Diceros bicornis minor: one gene and its partners. The main gene of each other region encodes a partner of the protein of the gene in region 2 in a complex. Links are inferred from orthologs where the notes say so. Each region holds a gene or a part of one and is shown on either strand. Other genes may lie near its edges.

Evidence for each region. Proteins that work in one complex are often made in the same cells at the same time.
Region 1: the proteins of GABARAP (region 2) and TP53INP2 are in contact, whole or in part, in a crystal structure (PDB 8T31), measured with the Homo sapiens proteins. The link is inferred for Diceros bicornis minor from reciprocal best matches to the Homo sapiens genes GABARAP and TP53INP2. Residues at the interface, in NP_009209.1 of Homo sapiens: Tyr5, Glu17, Ile21, Tyr25, Arg28, Pro30, Val31, Ile32, Lys46, Lys48, Tyr49, Leu50, Val51, Pro52, Asp54, Leu55, Gln59, Leu63, Arg67, Phe104; in NP_001316358.1 of Homo sapiens: Glu31, Val32, Asp33, Gly34, Trp35, Leu36, Ile37, Ile38, Asp39, Leu40, Pro41.
Region 3: the proteins of GABARAP (region 2) and STX17 are in contact, whole or in part, in a crystal structure (PDB 7BV4), measured with the Homo sapiens proteins. The link is inferred for Diceros bicornis minor from reciprocal best matches to the Homo sapiens genes GABARAP and STX17. Residues at the interface, in NP_009209.1 of Homo sapiens: Tyr5, His9, Lys13, Glu17, Lys20, Ile21, Arg28, Pro30, Lys46, Lys47, Lys48, Tyr49, Leu50, Pro52, Leu55, Gln59, Phe60, Phe62, Leu63, Lys66, Arg67, Phe104; in NP_060389.2 of Homo sapiens: Ala169, Glu170, Ser171, Trp172, Glu173, Thr174, Leu175, Glu176, Asp178, Leu179, Glu181, Leu182.

What each region holds. Positions count from the first base shown.
Region 1 is NC_080758.1:24,903,655-24,910,864, forward strand, and holds the start of TP53INP2 (tumor protein p53-inducible nuclear protein 2), read right to left. Parts: upstream 3,022-7,210; 5' UTR 2,829-3,021; intron 1-2,828. UniProt on the Homo sapiens protein: Dual regulator of transcription and autophagy. Positively regulates autophagy and is required for autophagosome formation and processing.
Region 2 is NC_080757.1:11,041,442-11,048,034, reverse strand, and holds GABARAP (gamma-aminobutyric acid receptor-associated protein), read right to left. Parts: upstream 2,531-6,593; 5' UTR 2,459-2,530; coding exon 2,369-2,458; intron 1,810-2,368; coding exon 1,731-1,809; intron 1,589-1,730; coding exon 1,470-1,588; intron 1,005-1,469; coding exon 939-1,004; 3' UTR 506-938; downstream 1-505. Other genes in the region: CTDNEP1 (CTD nuclear envelope phosphatase 1), read right to left, coding at 4,272-4,332, 4,642-4,726, 5,168-5,279, 5,508-5,624, 6,040-6,111, 6,327-6,445, 6,546-6,593. UniProt on the Homo sapiens protein: Ubiquitin-like modifier that plays a role in intracellular transport of GABA(A) receptors and its interaction with the cytoskeleton.
Region 3 is NC_080767.1:9,866,306-9,874,060, reverse strand, and holds the start of STX17 (syntaxin-17), read right to left. Parts: upstream 3,022-7,755; 5' UTR 3,003-3,021; intron 2,940-3,002; exon of another isoform or gene 2,629-2,939; intron 1-2,628. UniProt on the Homo sapiens protein: SNAREs, soluble N-ethylmaleimide-sensitive factor-attachment protein receptors, are essential proteins for fusion of cellular membranes.

The sequences.
Region 1 (7,210 bases), on a different chromosome or scaffold from region 2:
GCTACCATCTCACCATGTGATCGCACAGCCCTCAGTTATGTCTGTCAGATGAAGTTCAAAGATCCTATTCCCACAGGCCCTCCCCTCTCTTACCCCCTATTCCTAAGCTCCTGTTCAAGGGCAGCATCCCTGGCTAGGAGGAGGAAGATCAGGTTGCCTGGCCCCAGGAAGACAGCGGGTCAGTGGGAGGGGATGAGGGAGGAAGGGAGCTATCAGACCCCAGGAGCCCTTAAAGATGAGCGCTAAGGGTTGGACCAGGACTCAAGCCCCCAATCAGTCCTTCCCTGGGTAAAGATGAGAAAGGAGACCCCCGGCTCCATGGAGACACCAAGGAGGTGGCTGTAGATCTGCCCCCCTCCCCTCCTCAGCCTACCTCAGGACTAGATCTGGGCTAGGGGCTGCTGGTCAGACACCCTGAATGTCCCTAAAGCTTAGCCCTCCACATCTTTCCCCTGAAGATCAACAGTTTTGCTGCTGAGCCCCTTATCGCCTTCCTCTAGGGATGTTTCCACACTTCCTATAGAACTCCGGGGGGGCATGTCCACATTCTACTCTGACTGCTAACCTACCCCGGGTATTTCTGTGCCTGTTGCTACCTCTCCCATTCCCTGGGAATGTTTTCACATTTGCCACAAAATCACCTAACCTGCATACCCTGACAATATTCCCACATTTGCAGACCCACAGTGGACTCCAGAAGGAAGTGCTCCCTGGGTGCTGGTGGGAGATCTACAGGGATTATGAAAGGTTGGGCCACCCCTACCTAGTGCCTGCCCGGCACAAGCCATATATCCCAACCCGTCTGTAGCCACAGGAGTTAGTGACTCAGTTACCAAAAATCCAGAAAGTTTGGCCCCTCCTGAAGGAAGGGAAGTTTGGGGCCTTGATGAGGCACACCCTCCTTCCAAGGACCTACTACTTCATTAGAGAAGATGAAAGGGAAGTGAAGAGCTGTTTCAGGACCAACATGTTCACCCAGCCCATTTTACAACCTGCAGGTCAGAGGACATAAGTCTGTCCAAAGCCAGCTAGATGGTGGCAGGGCAGACCTAGCCCCAGGTCACTGAGCATCCAGTCGAGAGTGTACACAGTAGGGAAATCCTCAGCAAACAATCCCCCAAAATATAATGATGCAGGGGAGATAGGGAGGCCAGACAGGAGTCAGACCTTGATCGAGTTACTGCCCCCCTCAGAGTCCCTCTGCCCACCCCTTTTATAAAGGGTCTGGGGTTCCTGGCCCCAAGATTCATTCTGTGTACCAAGCCTCTCTGGGCCTCCTCAAATTATAGACAGATTGAGGTAAGGGAGGCTCAGGGAAGGGAAGCTCCCTGCCCAAGGTCACACAGCAAGTCAGTGACAGGGCCAGGAATAACAGCAGCACCAGCCAGCCAGCACCTGCCCCCTCACATGACCACTGGGGGAGCCTCTCAGATTTTCTTTCCCAGCCCTGCCAGCTTCCTGATTCTCACATTCCCAGCTCTGCTCCAGGGAGAACCATTCCCTTTAATAACTACAGCAGCTGTGCCCGGAATAGCACTTGAGCCCCAAGCCACCTCTACCCCAGCCCATCATTGAGCAAAGCCCAGGTTGGGATGGGGTTCCTGGTCCAGCCTCTAGGCCCATCGACTTGGAAAGTCAGAAGCTCTCTTTCTCCTACCTCTTCTCTGGCCCCTCTCTGTGAGCAGAGAGAGGGGCAGCACAAGCCTTGTAATCACCAGCACTTGGCCAGGTCAGTCCTTCCTAGCTGACAACTCTGGGAGTTAGGGAGGTGATGAAGGGCCAAACAGAGGAAACTCGTACCTCCCACCCCACTCCTACATCAGCCCTGGAGACACCCTGATGCAGCCATGACTCACCTTCCTGTGGTCAAAACAGCTGGGAAGCAGCAATTTTACTGGGCTCTAGGACTCCAGGGTACAGAGAGTCAGGGCCACAAAAGGGGACCCAATCTCCAGAGACCTCCTGGAAAAAGATCCAGGAGTGAGAAGACCTACCAGCCCTATCAAATTTGGATGGTGTTGAGCCTAAGGTAGAGTCTCCAATGGAAGGAGGATGTGTAACTTGTTACTAGTATTGAGCTCCTACTAGGTATGTGCCCGTGCCTAATGTGTCTGTCACTCACTCAGTAGTCATGACTCTAATTGGCTGCATGAGCTCAAGTAAGCCACTTCTCCTCTCTCGGCCTCAGTTTCCCCTTCCGTGAAATGAGGTCTAAGATCCCTGTTTTGGGGTTGGGAGTGATGTTAGCTAAGGCGCTGCACACATGCCAGGGATTAGGAGGATGTTATTATGTTAGTCCCGGGGGGGCAGAGCCTGGAGCCGGAGGGAGGGGATTCCACCATCTGGCGCTGCCCCAACACCCTGGAGTTGGAGATACAAGCTGCCTCTGAACTCCTGACAACCCTCCCAACCTAGATCCAGCAGGGCCGTCCGAACCCCTCTCAAGTTGGCAAGGAGAAAATAGGGGATCAGAGGCCCGCCGCAGCCCCTGAACTAGCCCAGCAAACTGCCGAGGCCCCTCGGGTCCCGCTGCTTTTCAGCGTCCCTCACCCACCGGCCCAGCCCGGACCCAGCGCCCACCGGGTCACTGGAGGACAAGCGACCCGAGCGGGGAGGGGGCGGGGGGGGCGGTGCCGGCCTTGGTGACGTCTCAATGTCATATGCAAATAGGGAGACGTCATGGTCTACCGGCGTGCGGCAGCCAATCGGGAGACCCGAATGCAGCCTCGGCGGCCGCCGGCAAAAACAGACAAAGACCCGGGAGCAGGGGGCGCGGGGCGTGTCCCGGGGCGCGGGGAGCCCCCTGGCCGGAGCTGCTCCAGACTCACCTGGGGGCGAGGGCGGTGCTGTGGGCGCGGTGGCGCTGAGGTAGTTGTGCGGCGGAGCGTCCCAGGGTCGGCGGCTGATCACAGGCCGGGGCGCATCGCGGGGGCTGGGCGGAGAGGCGGCGGGGCTACGGGCCGGACGCTGCCGGCTGCTGCGCTCGCCCGCGGGGCTTTGAGTCTGTGCAGCGGCTGCTGGGCTCACGGCACAAATTGGAACGTTCAAACAGCTGATTGTGACGTCACAAAGGGGCCCGCCCGCCTCACGTCACCGGCCGGCGGAGCGGCGGCCAATCCCAGGCTGCGGATCCCCCCTCCCTGCCCCCTCCACGGTTCGCTGGCTAGTGGCTCCTGCCCGGGAGCCCAGCTCCGAGCCTCCGGGGGCCGCCCCGAAAGGTGACTGCTGGGAGCTTGTACCCCCTGCCCCGGGCGACCCACAGACCTCTCAGTGAGGAGAGTCCTCACTCCTTCCTACGGGATCCCCATCTTCCTGCATTCCCTTCACATATCCCAGCGCCCTCACCTCTCCCACTCCCTCCATATCTTTTCACCTGCATCCTGTATCCAAATCCCCCAATCTGTACCCGCTTCTCAACTCCACACCACGTCCCTGCACCTCCATTCTCCCCACCACCTTTCTCCTTGCTCTCCCTCGCTTTTCTCTCTCATCTCCACCCCAACACATTCTCTGCTTTCCCACCTCATTTTTCCTCAGCTGGGCAGGCTTGAAAGGTGAGCGACATCCCTCTTTTCTGGTTCCGGAGGAGCACTCGGGAGTGTAGAAGAGTTGGTTAGGCTGACGGGAAATTTTGCAGAGTAGGACTTGGAGAGGAATTGCTCTGGGCTGAATAAACATTGACCTAGAGACTGTTCTGTACGGGAATATTTACACACCTTATTTAATCCACGTTGCTACTGGGGCTGGACAGAAGAGTGACAGGACAGGGATTATTAGTCCCGATTTTCACACGGGGAAACTGAGGCTCACAAATCTCACTGTTAGTATGGTGATTCCTATTCAATAATGCATTTAACAAACATTTATTGAGTACCTACTGCTGCCGCTGCCAGCCCACTAGCGGACACTTATTGAACAATTACTGAGTCCCAGGCACTGTGCTATAGTGCTTTATATGTGTTTTGATCTTCACAACAACCCCAAAAGGTGAATATTATCCCCATTTTCCAGTTGAGAAAACAGACTCAGAGAGCCTAAGTGACTTCCTAATGTCACAAAGTTGTAGTAAATGGCAGAGCCAGGATTTGAACTCAGTTCCTGGCCCCAGCCCTCTCCACTCTCTACATGCACCAGACTGCCTAAACCCCAGAGTGCTCCAGCCTCCCCAGGGAGACCTGGGCTCAGTCCTGACTGCCCCAAACTTGCTGTGTGATCTCAAGGAAGTCATGTTACCTTTCTGAGCCCCAATTCCCTTATTGTCAAACTTAACATATCCAAGCTTCCTTCTGGAGATTCTTTCAAACACTCCACCCTCAGGATTCTGCCAATCACATGTCCTAAGCCCCCAGCTCTCCCAGTGGCCTGAGAAATGCCTGGGGAGAGACCACAAATATACATCCTCAGAATCTCTAGGGCCAGAGGTTCTGAGTCCTCTCTCAGTAGAGCAGGACTGGTGAGGGTGGGTCTGAGAGCTGCCCATCTGGCCCAACAGGAGGCAGGTGGTGAGCTAGGCCAGAGCTTCATGCTCTGGTGATAAAATCCTGTCCCAGCCTAGTTTGAAACCCCAGAGGGACTCCTCAGCCCTAGCAACCAGGAGAAGGAGCCAGGAATACCCAGAGGCTGCTGGGGGAGGAGGGAGCAGTGTTTTGGCCTTTGGAGTGGTGTCCCCAAAGTGTCCTCATTCCAGGCAACCCTGAGCCTCTGCCCATCACATCTACTTCCTGCTAACCTCATACCCTCTCTTGACCTCCTTGCTGACTTAAACTAAATAATCATTAACACACCTTTCCTGTCACACCACTTGCCTGCTCTAAAACCTTCTGTGGCTCCCAAAGTACCACACTCCTCACACAGCATTCATGGCCTTCTATGATCCAGCCCCAGTTCTCTCCAGCTTCATCTCCCTTCTTCTCCAACATGTGCCTTGTGTTAAGGTCAAACTCCTCTTTGTCTCTTCAACACTCTCCCACATCCACCCCTGCCTGGTATGCCCTTTTCAGGCCTTTCTGAATTCAGATCTTTCCTGTCTTCAAGATTCTACTCACCCCTTCTTCTAGGTAGCTTTCCTTGTCCCCACCCATGTGTCCAGAGCTACCTTGATGGACAGTCATTTATTTGTTCAATAAACAGTAAGTGAAGATGACTAATTGTGGGTGTGTATGTGTCTTACCAAGTGGATGATTGGCATCCCATGGGCAGAATCTTTGTCCACATACTCCCCCACCCAGCCTGCGCTGGGCCTGGCACAGAGTAGACTCCAATCAGATCAGCAGTTAGTGCTCAAGAAGAGTGGCTGGTACAGGAGTTGACACCTGGACCTTTTATCCTGGTACAGGACGCATTTTGTTGGGCATAGGTTTCTGGTTCCCCGAGCCCAGGGAAGGGGGCTCCTGACATACACTCTGATACCCTAAACAACCTGGATTCTGCTCCCAGCCTTAGCTGAACCCCGTGTACAGACTGCTAGGTCAGATCCCAGTCTTCCATTTCTCTGAAGAGTCAGGGGTACCCATGGAAGTTGGGGGCTGGAGCCCAGTAGAATCCCTTCCTGAAACCCCTGGGACCCATCCCTCCTCACTACAGAGATTTATTATCAGGGCTGGAGGAAACCTCAGCTCTCAATTCATCCAAACTCCTCATTTTATAGGTGGAGAAACTGAGGCACACTAAGGCACACAGAGCCCAAGGTACTTGCTTAGAATTATAGAGCAGCAGAGCCATCCACTGACCCTGGCCTGGGGGAGTGGGCTTAGTATTCTGGGACCCTGGCTTGGGCCTGGAGGCTGTAAAAAGGGGCAGTGGGCACCAGGCTGGGAGTAATCCTGGAGTCTCATTTCCAATCAGACATAGGGTGCCACTCCTGTGTACATACATGGATATGCATATGCATGGGCATCTATGTATACACATGAAGCATCCATGTACAGATATACACACATGTGCACATGAGCTCACATCCATGGGGTTAACCCATCCAATCCCTGCCCAGATGTAAGCACTTGCTCAATTTTATGGGCCCCAGGTTTGAGGTCAAGAGGTCACCCTTCTATTCACCACTAAACCCTGGGGGCTTCCCAATGGCTTGGGGCCCCCCATTTCCAAGGGCAAAGATGTGTCAGCCTGGGTGTGTCCCTCACAGGACCTTGCGTGTACTCGAAGGTATGAGCCTGCTGGAGAACTGTCTCACCACTCCCCTCTCCCCCCTTACTCCCTAAGCTAGAAGGCAAGGCTGAGAGGAAGCCAGTGGGTAGCTTGGAATCTGAGTCAAAACCAGTAAGCTCTGATCACTCTAGAAGCAGAGCTCTCCCCCTACCAGCCCCAGATCTACAGAGTTAAACAAATAATACTAATGATGAGATCATTGAGATTTCTATGTGCCAGGTACTATTCTAAGTCCTTACTTGTGTTGATGACTCATTTAATCTTCACAATAATCCCCTAATGTAGGTAATATTCTTCTCGTTTTACTGATGAAGAAACTGAGACAGAGAGGGGAAGAAATTTAACTGGTAAAGCCAGCTAGGGCAGACATAATCCCCAAATTCCCTCAACAGATAGGCCTAGACCTTAACAAGGGGCCATATGCCCTGAACTCCTACTCAAAAAGATTTGTTGTTCAAGCCAGAGATGTCTGAATTGAGGGTAACTGTGGTGTGTGTGTGTGTGTGTGTGTGTGTGTGCATACACACCATGAAAAAGACCCTGGTCTGATTGTCAGTAAATCCAGATTTCAACCCTGGTTCTATCAATCCTGGCCTCACTGCCTGGCCCTGGGCAAGTCACTTTCTTTGTCTGAACCTCAGTTTCCCCATCTGCAAAATGGCTGGCTCCACACTCCCTAAATAGTACCTCCAGTCCCAATCTCCAGGCATCCAAGTTTGTTTGTGTGAACTGTGCTTAATGCCCCTGACAAGGAGGAGGTGATGGTCAGGACAGGATTCATTTCAAGAAGAGGAGATGGGTGGCAGGAAGCCAAATGCCTGGCTTAGTTTTAGTCCATCTGCTCATGGTGTGAGGGTAGGGTGTGACTTTGGGGCTCCATGGGTATGTATGTGAGTATGAACAAGTACCTGAGTGAGCTGCTCTGGTGTGAGTGCCCTGCATGAATTCCCACATTTGGAACTTTTGAAGGAAAATGGTCCCTCAAGCTCTGAGACTGGAGAGGAGAGTGTGGACAGTGGGGTTCCCTCGTGCTGCACCAGCCACTGTT
Region 2 (6,593 bases):
CTCCACTTCCGGCTAGACGGAGAAGTGGTTGCTGGGAGATGAAGTTCTCCTGGTGATAATGGCTTCCTCCTCCCAGTCTTCTCTCTCTCGGATTCCACTCCACTGGATCCCACACGCCGGCACAAAGTCTGGCCAAGTGACATGCAACTGAGGACAGAGTCCTTTTACCAACTCCCACACACGAAAATCCCTTCCTTAATCCCAAAGGTTATAACAAACTTGGATGTGTTTCTCTAAAGCAGGTACTTTCAAACTTTCTCCACAGGAACCCACAGTAAAAAACTTTTTATCAGGACCCCCTACACACGTATGTAAAACTGAAGTTTCACGAAACAATACTCCGAGTATTCCATCCATCACAACAAAAGCACCCTATTTATACACAAGGAAAAGCCTAACATCAACAGAATAAACCAAAATCTATTACTATCCCTCCAACCTCTTTCCCCACCAGTGAGGAGTAAAAAACAAAAGGGGGAGGGGAGCAACACAAAGCAAAATCCAGTTCAGCTTGGTGGTTTCCTCTTTATTGATGTGCCTCCTACCTTCCCCCACAATTCAGTCCCTTCCATCCACCACAAAAAAGAAGGTAGTGAAAGGAAAGGATTGTTGGGGTTCTGAGCCCCTTGGGCAGTTAGAAAGGGAAGAGAAACCAAAACAATCACTGGATGTGACAGAGATTGACAATCAAGAAGTCTAAAGCAGAGTGGCAAAGGTGGTAGAGAAGGGGGAAGAAAGGAGAAGGGAGAAGTAGTAGCGGCCATCTCCCCCATTAACCCTCCTGCTAAGACGGGCTGGAGGAGAGCCTCAAACATTAGGAAGGGCAGGTCCTGAATAATGGAGGTGGTGTTTGAGCCTGAAGGAGGAAGAGTAGGTCAAGGAAGGGGGGCCACCTCTCTCTCTGTAGAATGGGACCCCCCACCTCAGGGGCAGCAGCTTCACAGACCGTAGACACTTTCATCACTGTAAGCAATGTATAGAAAGAAGTCTTCTTCATGGTGTTCCTGGGGTAAAAGCAGAAAATTATGGTGCTCAGGCATCTGGGCTTTAGTTACTTGAACCACCCACTGCCCAGACACATTCTTCAAAAACCATTCTTTCTAAACACCCCAAAAACCAGTGCCTTGACTCCTTCCCTCGCTCCAGGCCCTAGTGGCAAGCAGTAGTATCCCTAACAGCAGTCCTGGGCAAAAAGATCTCAGACTGTTCTCCGCTGCCTTGGAATGGGAAGGGGACTGGGGAGAGTCTGGATCAGAATAGTTGCTCCAGCTCACTATTCTCACCCTTCTCTCTACTCCCACTGGCCCGTCCAAACCCCCAATCCAGAGCAATCCGGAAATTTTAAGGCCAAAGATAAAATTGAGAGCTAAACAAACCAGCTAATCCAAGAATTGTTGACCTAAAACGTTCTTCCCCTCAAACTCTTCTAACTCCTCTCAAAAGCCTCCACTACTTCCCGGTCACCATACCTGGTATAGCTGACCCATTGTGGCACTGGTGGGTGGAATGACATTGTTAACAAAGAAAAACAAGGCATCCTCAGCTCGGAGATGAATTCGCTTCCGGATCAAGAAGTAGAACTGACCAACTGCCAAAGATACAAAGTGTGATAAAGTCATAGAGGTCACAAATGCCCTCAAAAGAACAGCTGCTATATGTGGAGCTTCCTCCCACAGAGACTGCAACCCCCCCCACAGGAAGCAAACCTGAGTATTGGGTCAGGTTCCCACCTGTGAGATCAGAAGGCACCAGGTATTTCTTTTTGTCCAAGTCCCCTATCCGAGCTTTGGGAGCCTTTTCTACTATCACCTGACAAAGATGAAAATTAGGAGACATCAGGTATACAGCCTCACAGCTCCACCTGTCAAGAGCTGGAGCAACAATATTCCCAACACCCAAACCTACCCCCGACTCATTTTTCTTTGTCTCTGAACACGCGGTGCAGCCCTGAGTACAGATCCTCACCCCATTGACTGGAACTCACCTAAATATCCAGGATCCCTGAAGAGGGCGTCATAGTAAACAACTATCTTAATCAGATGGGGATGACTAGTCTGGGCTGACTAGAGCTTCAATCTCAAAAATCTAGCTAGCTGGGGGGAACGACCGTGTGAAGCTCAGGCTGTCAAACTCCCTACAGCCTCCCACACAAATCCTAAGATCTCTCTCTCCACCTACATCCCCTCGCCTCTAGCTCTACCGCTACCCGACTCCTTTCACCTCCGGTCCCAGAGACAGCAGTTTCGGCCTCGTTCCCAACCCCGCCACAGCCGGCAGCCCGATGCCCGCGCTGCCCGTCGCGGACCCAAGTCCAGGCTGTGGCGTCAGCGCCAGCGCCCGCGCCCTCGGCCCTGGCTACTGTCCTCACCGGGACCCGGTCCGGGTATTTCTTTCGGATCTTCTCGCCCTCAGAGCGGCGCTTCTCGAACGGATGCTCCTCTTTATACACGAACTTCATCCTCCCGGGAACCGGGCTGGACCGGGCTGGCCTGAGGGAACCCGGGGGGGGGGGCCGGGACGGGGGGCGGCGGCGGCGGCGGCGGCGACGCGCGGGCGGATTCAGCGGAGCGATCCCGAGACTTGCGCCACTTCCCTATTCACCAACCCCGCCCCCGCCCATCAAGGGTCGCCCCGCCTGCTATGTTACGCCACTAGCTCAGTAGCCCTAACGCCGCTAGCGTAGCACCACCTACTGACCGCCCCCCCCTCACGCCGTCAGCGTAATCGCTTTGGAATCAACTTGTCAGCTACGCAGGCTACGTAGCTGTCGTTGAAAGTAACTGAAAACCCATTTCCCAACCTTCCCCCCACGAAGCCGGGAATGAAAAGGGCTAGGAGATGGTAATAATTTGAGACCTGATTCTCCAAACGTTCTTTTCGGAAGTAACGCAGAGGAAAAAAAGAGCAGAGATAATTACAAGGATAGCTATTCACAAAACGTGCTGGTACGCTAAAGGCGGCCGTTGACACCAAAACAAAGTAGTACCCAAGCAGAGGAGGTGGTCTCCGGCAATTACGGACGACAAAAAGGAAATATATATTTGGAGAGACGCACAGAACGCTTAGGTTCCAGGAATGAGTGGACCAATAGGGACTGGAGAGGAGGTCCGAAAGGTAGGGACTACGTCAGCGCGGAAGAACACTTTAAGTATTTGTAACAGAAAAATCATGTGATCTTGGAGAAGGGCGGAGCGTCACGTGGCGGGTGCGAGGAAGTAGAGCCGGCTTCGGAAGGAGGGCGCTGAGGGGTGGAAGCGCCGGGGTGGAGCGGAGAGAGCCGAGGACCCGGGGCAGCTGCCGCCTGGGGGCAGCCCGTGCTTAGCTTGTCCACGTCAGTCCCCCAAGCGAAGCCCGGCCTCTCTCCAGCTATATGCCTGTTCTGGCGTCCAGGTTTCTCCTCCTTTCATACTTCTATGTTATACTGCGCTAAAGCTCAAGTTCCTTCAGGACACGCAGCTGTCCTTTCACTCCCTGCCAGGCCGCCCATCCTGTCACTAAGACCCTTCCCGCCAAAGCATAGATATTGATGTTAACTCTTTCATCCCCGAAAAGCCAGCACCACCTTTCCTCCTACCCTTCTTGGGCCCAACAGCAGTCTCTTTCCCCTCTGCCTAGGGGACAGGGAGGGTGTAAACCATGACCCCTCCCCTCATTTCCCCAAACCCCAGAGAAGGCTCTAGGGCAGCTTTGGTTTCAAAGTTATAATGCATGGTTTAAAAGAGAGGAAAGAAAAAAAAGAGAAAGGTGGTTACAGATCTGAGGGAATCTAGGAAGAAGGGAAAATAGAGTGAAAAGTAAGGGGGGGACAAGTTTGGGGAAAATCCAGTGGCCCAAAATCCCAGTTTCCCACCCACAGCCCAGCCCTTGGAGTGAAGAATTAGTCATTTTTGTACAAGAGTTTTTAAAAAATCAAATCACAACAAAGCTGGCTTGGCTTCTCTTTGAGCCTCCTAGATTACCGAATGTCTCTCACTCTGGCCAGTCCTGTCTCTCCACCACAGACACTGTTTCGGCTCTCCTAGGTCTCGGCTTATGTCCCAGTCTAGGGTTTCCAGGGAGTGCGAACACGAAGTTAGAGTGAGGCTGCTTCAGAGTCTGGCCCATGTGTCCATCCAAACTCCATATGGAGTGCGGGGCTCCCAGGGCAGAGAGGGGTGGGAGGGGCAGACCCTGCCCATGCAGTCCTCACCATTTGACAGGGCATCAGACGGCATCCTGAGGGCTCACCCTCCCTTCCCCCCCACCCCACTCAGGTGGAGGGGGAGCAGCTGTCACCAGAGCCTATGTTGGTGAAGGTTTCGGCTCAGCACAGAACGAACATCAGCGGTGAACCTGGGATGACAATAACTTGCATTGGTAGAGTCCTTATAGTTGATATCCTCACAACACTACTGTAAGGCAGCCTCATTGGAGACGTGGGGCAGAAATGATCACCATTTTCACTGGATGAGACTGAGATTCAGTTTGCCCAAAATTCAATGGCTAAAAGTGATAAGCTTTAGTGTAAGAAGACCTGGGTTCAAATGCTAAGTTCTTAAGGGAAGAGAGATAAGTTAAGTAAAACAGGACAAACTTTTATTCCCTCTTGGGATCCCCCACCTCCTCCTTGCCTCGGAAATCTAAATGTCTAGCTTCCCTTACCTGAGGGCATCCAGCATCGGAAGCAGGTTGAGAAGGGCGGTATCACTGGGGTCACTGAACCAGGATTTGATGGGGATGGCATTGTCTAGGTTGAGTGAAGATACACATGAGAAGAAACAAAGAATTCAAGAGAGACACTGTTTTTTTCTTTTATTTCGGGGTAGGGATCATTCTTTAAATACATACCTCACTGAACCGCACCCTGCCCCCACCGCCCAAACTCAACAACCTAAGTAAAACCTTCCTGATTTATTCTCCAAAATAAAATTAAACTTTAATCACCATATCTCATACTAGTGTGAGACTTTTAGCAAAATTTATTGCCATTGTGTCTCACCTGAAGCAAGTTTGATATGGGAAATCTAATGTATGAAGTGGACATGTGGCAGAGGAGGGATGTCTCATTTAAAAGAGAAACAATTTACATCCTGACCTACAGTAAACCAGGGAATCCCAGCTCTATGCATTCAAAATACCTCCTCAAAACCATTTCCTGGTCCTGCCAGACTCACCACCTTCCCCATACCTGGATGGCTCCTGTAAGCCCCTGGAGAGTTATCCAGGATCACAATGCTGGAGAGGTCACTGTGGACCACAGAGAGGTCCTTGATGTAGCTGCCCAATTCCAAAGTGCAGTGCTGGAAGGCAGGGTGAGCTGGCATCAGAAGGAGACTCGCGCTCTGTGACTGCTCCCCTAATCCCAACAACACCCATGGGCAGCCAACTCTCACAACAGAGATCATACCATACACCTCCCCCTCATGCCCAGAAGGTCCCATTCCAGGGCAAATTGCCTCAAACTCAAATCCTGCCCTGGTGGTCTGCCTCCCAAGCCTAACTCTTAGACCTGGATTCGAGCCCCTTACCTGTCTGTAGTATCTCCTCTTGAGAATGCTTCTGCTATTGTCCAGTTTATCTGCCACAGCAGAGCCATAAATCTCCATGCTTGCTGTGAACACCACCAGCTCATACCACTGGCTCACCTGAAATAGATCGCAGGAAAGAGGTGTCAGAAGAGGTGATCATTCATTTAGACATACAGTTCCCTTTCACTAGGAATCCAGTCTAGTCCTTCAGGCCTTTCAGCAACATCGAATGTCTCTGGGAACACAAAATTCTGAACGCCCCCAAACTCAGAGTCTTAGGCACCATACACCCTTAAGATTCAGAGAGGTGAGAACAAAAGAGCAGGAAGCCTGTGGAAAAATAGAATTACATCAACACAACAAATGAACCCAAACTATCAAAAGCCATTTTCTAATCATCCCACAACCTCCCCTCTCCAAAACTGCCCTTACCCATTTCTCCTCACCCCTTACTTCCTCCAGATCCTCTAAATTCCCAGAGCCCTAAAACCATTCCTTCATCACAGAGCTCCCTTTAGCTGCGCAAACTCACCACTTCTAAGAAGAAATCCACATGGGGCCTCTTATGTACAAAAAACCGGACAGGATGTTTGTCTATTACCACCTGTAGAGGAACGGTGAAAGGCTGGGAGAAGTCCTGAGCACAACACAGGCCTAAAGGACACCCCCTACCCTCCCACTGCCTGCTTCCCCCCTTCAGGCTCACACTGGTGCCAAGAAATGGAGACGGGGACAAGACTCTCTGGGACCAGGAAAGGGAGTCCAGGTCTAAGCAGAATAATGGACATAACCATTTCATCACTTCCCACCACCACACACCTTGAGGATGAAGTCAGGAGGTGTTCCAGGCCGGACTGTGGGCCTCAGGACCCCATCATGATGGGAGTGAATAAGTGTCTCATCCAGATCCAGCACCAGGATCTTCCTCTTCACCTGGCCTGAACCACAACGGGAAGGGATAACACCAACCAACCTCCAGCCCAGACCCTGAACCCTACTACCTCACCTTAAAACAGTCTTCCCAGCCAGCAAACTCACCTAGCCGATTCCGGGACACAGGAGATAAGGGAAGGATATCATATCGAA
Region 3 (7,755 bases), on a different chromosome or scaffold from region 2:
TTAAAACACAGGATAAAAAATACATTTATATTAACATCACAACTGTGTAAAACAAGCCTATGAAAAAAACAAAACATGCAAAAGTGCCTAATTTCTCACGATTCTGTAGAATTACTTTTAACAGTTTTTTTAAAGCCTAATGGAAGATTCGGGCTCACAGAATTGTTCTGTATCATTACAGTGGTGGTAGATACACAATTATACATATTTGTCAAAACTCAAAGAACTGTACACTACAAAGAGTGAATTTTTGTAAGTTAGAAGAACAAAAACAACGACAAGATGTGGGGGAAGCCAAAATAGCATACAAACCATAAAAAATAAAATTAACTGTATTACAAATGAATAGCATAACCACACTGAAAGCAGTGGGAGAAGAAAATAACTAATCTAGGTAACTTTGGAAAACAGTACTGTAACTAGATACTACAGGGCTAAAGACACAAAGAACTACACACAACTATACTGTACTCTAGTTAGTAACTGGTTTCTCATAGAAGCATGGGTTAGAACTCCTGAAATCACTTTATGTGTAAACTAGGATTGAACAAATAAGAAAATATTTTGTAGAACATGAAAGCCAGATTTCTCACTGTCAAGGAAAGATAAGGGGCAAGACTAGAGTGAACCCTGTGGTGTTAATTACAATTGGAGGTATCAGAATGAACTTTTGTTTTTTAAAAATATATATACTGACATATATATACAGACATATGTTGTATATATATGGCTGTGTATATATACATAAAAATAAGTACAAAAATAAATAGAAATCTTTGTGTATGTATGGATACATATATATGTGTGTGTATATATATCTCCATGGAATATGTGGATGTGGAGAGAGATATATATATTTTCCTAGCAGTCTTCTGCCAGGCACTAGAAGCAATGATACCCCAGTAGCAGTGAGCATACCTAGCACCCAGATCTTGGTGTTTAAATACCACTCTTCATAAAAAAGAAACCAGGTGTCCTGGGGGAAGTGGTTGATTCCAGGGCTGGGGCAGGGAAAACACAAGATAACCCTGGAGCATCTTATGGTGCCAGAAAGTAAGGAAGTTCTCAAAAAAGGATAGGGTCCTATCAAAAGGGCACAAGAAGCAACCAGAAAAAAATCCCAGTGGCTAAAGCTGGAACACTTTGAGACATAAACTAAATAACAAAAGTGTAGAATAATAACCAATGGAAAAATAAATGAGTCCATACTGATACAAATAAATATATGAATAAAATAAATAAATGGGAAAAGAGGCAGTTCTTCCTTTTAATTCTCCAATTAATAAATGAAGAAGAAATGAGAGAAACAGAAAATCACCATTAGAACATCACAGTAATGACTACTGAAGGCAAGACCCATCAATGGACGATAAAATCAGCAAGCGCAAGTGTGAGGAGAAACAGGATACTTGCATAGTTTAAAAGTTCTGCCCCAAGATATGGATTAATTACAAAAGGAGAAATAGCAACTTTAGAGAAGCCCAGCAGACACTACCCTAACCAAGTGATCAAGAGTAACACCAAATGTGTCATATCATGCACCCGCTCATATGATGAGCTGAGAAGGGCACCTACTCTTCTGTAGTGTCAACGAAAGTGCATAACCTTAATCTAATCATGCTAAAACATCAGACAAAACCCAACTGAGGGACATTCTACAAAACCACTGACCAGGACTCTACTCTTGAAAAGTTAAAGGTCATGAAAGGCAGGAAAAGACTGAGGAGCTGTCACAGATTGGAGGAGACTAAGGAGCCATGCCAACTAAGGGCAACGTGGGATCTTAGATTGGATCCTGGAACAGGAAAAGGACACTAGTCTAAAAAATGATGAAATCTTTATAAAGTTGGTAGTTTAGTTAACAGTATTGTACTGATGTTAATTTCTCCCTTTTGGTAATCGTACTATAGTTATATAAGGTGTTAACATTAAAGAAAGTTGCAGAGAACTCTGTACTACTTTCCTAACTTTTCCATAATCGTAAAATTATTTTAAAACAAAAAGCCTTTTTTAAAAAATATATATGAACTGATGTTTCACATAACACGGGTCAAACATCTACAAGTCCAAGAACTACAATCATATCCGCTGCACTAACACTTTTGGGGGGTGGGGGGGAGTGCCAGGTGCTTTACAAACTTGATCACTCAGTGCTAACAACTATTATCAGCTCTGTACCATAATACTCATGTTTCCAACGAGGAAAAAGTACTGGGAGGTTAACTACATTACTTGAGAGTATTTATAAGTGAAAAGCCCCATTTCTCAGAAAAAGTCCAAAATCGCTGGCAACCCCCCTCCTCCCCCGCAAAGTGATGCACACCTTCCATCAGCTTAGAGCTCCCACATTGGTGGCACGGGATTTCCTCAGGCACGTCGCCCCGTGTTTCTGACTGGGGGGCGGGGCACTGAATTTGGAAAGGAAAGTCAAGGCCCTTGGTCCTACCCTGTGGTCTCTCTGAGCCTCTGGTTCCGAATTCATAAAAGGAGGAAGTGAAGGTGGACCCGGTACCTTCTGCGGACCACCTCCCGGTCTGACTGACAGCAGCTCCGACCCCCCCGCTCCCTGTCCTCCCCTCTCCACCCCCGAGCCTCGCATCATCCCCCGCAGAGTCACCCACGGCGCACCTGGGCCACCCGCACCGAACGCCCCCACCCGAGAGCGGATGTGCGGGCGGGTCTCGAGACCGAGACGCCGGCGACCCTGACGACCTCGGCCCCCCGTGCGTCACGGGCAGGGCAGGCGCAGGAACTTTTGCGCCCCGCGACCCCGGGAGGCCACACGCTCGCCCCGTTGGCCGCCTCCCTATACCCGCTTCAAACAGCGCTTCCAAAACGAAACCGCCACTTCTGGGAAACGAGAGGAGCTCCACGGCGCTCGCACTTCCGACCTGATGCCCCGCTTCCCGCGGGACGCCTCTCCTGCGCGCCAAGGCAGCGCCTCGCCCGCCGCGCCCGTCAGGGCCTGACGCCCCCGAGACGACCTCCCGCGAGCCCCTTACCTCCGGCCGGGGCGCTGGAGGCCGGTCGGTGCGCACGGCGCAGGCGCGGCGCGGCGGGGCGGGGCGGCGCGGCGGGCCGGCCGGGCTGGGCCCCGCCCCCTTTCGCCCATTCCAGGCTTCGCGGGGTGTGGCTGGCGCGCGGATTAGTGGGACTGACGCAGTCGCCGCCCGGGACCTCAAGAATCCTTTTAAAAAGTGGTCTAGATTTTCGTTGTGGGGTTGTAACACTGAAGCCAGGAGGAAAGAGGCGCACAAACGCTTTTTAGGTCTGTTGGTTGTGTTTTAAGTATGAGACAATTCATGTTTATGTACCCTTCTACTTTTGCAATGTTCTTGTCCATTTTCCTCTCTTCTTCCAGGAATTTTCTTGGCGGGCTGGCCGTGTGTTCTTAGCTCTTTACACATGTAGAAACTGAAGCTCAGAAAGGTTGTGCCTTCTCCCTCGAGCCCCCAAAAACCCTGTGAGGTGGACAGGGCACAAGTCTTAACTGTAACAGGCACAGAAATTGAAGCTCAGACAAGTCGTGATTTCTGACCCCAAAGCTGACGGAGCCCTTAATGCCAAGGTCCTCGTCCCGATTTTATAGATACTGACACCAGGGCTCAACAGAGAGTTTTAAGTGACTCACTCCAGTTCAACCAGTTAGTGAACGAGTTGGAACTCCAGCTGGGTTTGCTAAGTTCCTTCCCAAGTTCTTCCCCTTACCAGCTGCTACCAAGGAAGAAGCAGCTGGCTAGCTTTGAAGGCCTGGCCGGGTCACAGGTGCTTTCTGGATGACCTGACTTCCAGACCCAGCCTTTTTTATATGTGTTGGTGAATATTCAGATGACTTGTTTAGAATGTATCCACTGATGGTATTGTCCTCAGAAGTCATAAGGATGTTCAAGCTGTAGCTAAGGAAACTCAGTTCTTAAGAATCTTCCTGTGGAGTGGATGTAGAGGTGAGAATTGTGGACCAAGGAAGACTAGGGGCCTGTAAGAAAGCCTTGAAAGGCAATTGCTAAAATAAGGCACAAAATCTAAGCAGTTTGGATTTTCTTTGTGAGTATAGTGGATGTTGATATATGTTTTACTCTAGGAATGAGGTGCTTATAAAATTTTAATTCTAAGGAGAAAAATTAAAGTATTAGGCAATACCATGGGAAAATATTTTTTATGCAAGGGTCGGTTAAACAAGATCTTTTGAAGTAAAGGTCATTCAAGTTAAGTTCTGAAAAAGCTACCTCAAGTACAATAGGGAGGTATGGCACTCAGGATTCTAAATTTGAACCTAGCCTTCTAGGTTATTATATGTATGTTTGCCAAAGTTAGGTGTGTCAAGGGAGCAGGCTAGAACTTTTTAATCTAACAGTTTGTTAACTTGATTTATAATCTTTAAATATTTAGACATATGGTGTGTGGGTCTCTTTTTGTGCTCTTGGCCTGGGCCCTGAAGTTGTTAGGAGCAGGCCTGCTGCTACTATCCAACATTTCCCTGAGGTCCTAACTGAACCAGGAAGTCCAGACAAAACAATAAGAGTGTGTGTGTGTGTGTGTGTGTGTGTGTATTTATGTTTTTATATATATATCTATACATATATATACACATATAAATATATCTACATATATAATTCTTTTCAGGTATTATGATTGCTAACTTGGAAAATCCAAAGGAATGAATTGAAACAAGTTCATTAAAGTGGCTAGAGAAATAGCTTTCCTAAACTACAATTGCCAATTTAAGAATGTAGGAGGAGAAAAGATCACATTCAAAAATAGCAGAATCGTGTTTGTGTTTGTAAGGAATTATAGGACATATCTGGAGAGTTAAGAATAATAGCTAAATGGGGTGGGGGTGGAGGGAAGGATTACAAAGGGGCAAAAGGAAACTTTGGGGGTGATGGATATGTTCATTATCTTGATTGTGGTACTAGTTGCATGGGTGTGTACATATATCAAAACTTGCCAAATTGTACACTTCAAATATGTGTATATGTGTTTATTGTATGTGACTTATACCTGAATAAAGCTGTTTCTTAAGGAAAGGTATATATTATTATTTACTGGGGTACTGGAAATGTTCTATATATTGATCTGGTGTGATTACATATGTGAAAATTCATCAAGCTATACACCTAAGATTTGTGTACTGTATGTAAGTTATACCGCAATAAAAAGAGGAAGTAAAGAACTAGCAATTCTTGATTTAAAACAAACAAAACCTCTTAGTAAACAAGAATAGCTACTTCCTTGATATTATTTCTCTCTATTACCTCTCTCTATGAAATAGTGCTGAAATAGCAGCAGTAATCCCTACCCTTGTTAAAGCCTTTCACCCCTTTGAAAATAAAATAAAAAGCTGTGAAAGAGATAAAAAGAGAGGGGAGAGAGGTAAGAATGATTAGATCCACAAAAAAGCAAGAGTTTTGGAGGACATTCAAATTCCTGGTCCACTTCATTCCTGAGGCTTAGCCGAATCCTAACACTTAGGTCTGGTTACACCCCAAAGCCTTCTAAACACCCAGTCCCCACTCCTGCTTTTTCTTTAATTGCTTGAACCAGCTCAGGTGAACTTCTACTACTTTCAGTTAAGAGAGTGCAAACTGTTATAGATACAAAATCATTTGTTTCTTTTGTTTTAAACTTATAGGTAGTGTTCACTGACTTTAGTACCTCAACCTCTTCACTTTCTGCTTTACCATCCCTTGCCGCCACACACACACACCATCACCAAACAATCAGTGCATGTACATTGCATTTATAGAGACCTTATATCAAACCAAAAGGAGTTAACTCTGAAGGTAGTGACACTAGAATTCTCCATTCATCAACCATTCACCGCTTAGGAATTTGGTAATCGTTTTATGTAGAATAGCTTAAATGCTCAGACATCTGCCTATAGACTCCTCCCCCACTTTTTGTTCTTATAATTACCTTAATCTCAAAACCTAGTGTGCCTAAGAATTATTGCATAGGGTAGTATTTATAAAACCATGCTTAATGGACCTTATGGGCAATTGAAACAATTTTCAAGGGTGATTTTGACGCTGTGATTTTTGATTTATTCGCTGACGTTAATTCCTCATACTCACACCCTTCACCATCCAACTCACCCTCAAAGGACGCAGCTTTACTTTACACTATGCTTGCAATTAAAACACAGTAAACATACTCAGCATTGCAATCATATTAAATGTTATTTAAACTTTGGCAATTTACAAGGCATCTTGAATTTTGTAGTGCCTTAGTTATTATTATCATGAATGTCAATTAATATCACATGATAGATATATAGACATGCAAATTGATAGATATTCCACATGGGCCCAACGTTGCTTTTTAACTTTTATCACCCGTTACTCCCCTCACGCATCCTCCGCTCTAACCAAACTGAACTCGATATTGTTTTTGTTGTTGTTGTTTATTGCAGTAACATTGGTTTATAACATTGTATAAATTTCAGGTGAACATCATTATACTTCTATTTCTGCATAGATTACATCATGTTCACCACCCAAGTACTAATTACAACCCATCACCACACACATGTGCCGAATTATCCCTTTCACCCTCCTCCCTCCCCGCTTCCCCTCTAGTAACCACCAATCCAATCTCTGTCTCTATGTGTTTGTTTGTTGTTGTTATTATCTACTACTTAATGAGGGAAATCATACGGTATTTGACCTTCTCCCTCTGACTTATTTCACTTTGCATAATACCCTCAATGTCCATCCATGAACTCGATATTCTTCATCCCAGTCCTTTCCCCAGTCCTGCCCTGTGCCTTCCACCTGGAATATTCTCCACCAATTGTCCCTCCCTCTCTGCACATCCAAATCCTACTCATCTTTCCATGTTCACCCCAAATGTGACCTCTCCTAATATTTTCAGAATTTCTAGATTTAATGCCTCCCTCCTCCAAAACCTACCTTATAATCTGATCTTTTTTTGACACATCACTGTCTACATTTTATTCCAGTAATTTGGTATGTGTCTTGTTGCCACCTCCAGTACTTTTCAACTTTTTCCCTGTGATGGCACAAATAGAAAATCATGTGTATAAAGAAAAACTAAGAGAGAACGCTACTCTCAGGTTCTGCCACTGGCGCACTGGGAGCTGGGACCGTTAACGCCTCCACACACCTCTGACACGTTCAAGCACAGGGGTTGAGAAGATGTCTTGTACCATCCCATTAGAATATAAACTCCTTGAGGGCAGGATCTGTGTTTGCTTATCTCCACATCCACCCATAGAGTCTAGCTCAATATCTTGCGTTTATGATAAGTGAATAATTGAATAGATGACAAAATGCTTTTCAAGTTTGCTTTTACAGAGTTTTGAAGGCTTCCAGTTTCAGCTTTGACATGTAAAGAAAGTCATCGCTCCCATCCTTACAACAAGAAGAAAGCTAAACAAACTTTAAATCAGTTACTTTTCTTGGACTCATCAGAGATTTGAGGTTGCAGGGCAAACTGCCCCCCAAATGCTGGAGAGACAGGCAAACACAGAGAATCACAGCCAAGATCAGCTTACCTGAAACAGAAGCCCCTGGAGCCTTAAGCTGGTAAGCACATTTAAATGATAACTTTGACAAATTGTTGGAAGGGGAGCGTGGGCTAGTATGAGACTGAGGAACTCCTGGGGGCTGCAGTCTTAGGGAGCACCCCACACTTTCACGGGTTTTACCTCCAGGAACCTCACCAGGTTCTCATGGTGAAGAGCCAAGAAGAAATCCTCATGTTTCTGACAGAGGAGGGGAAAATAAAGCATTT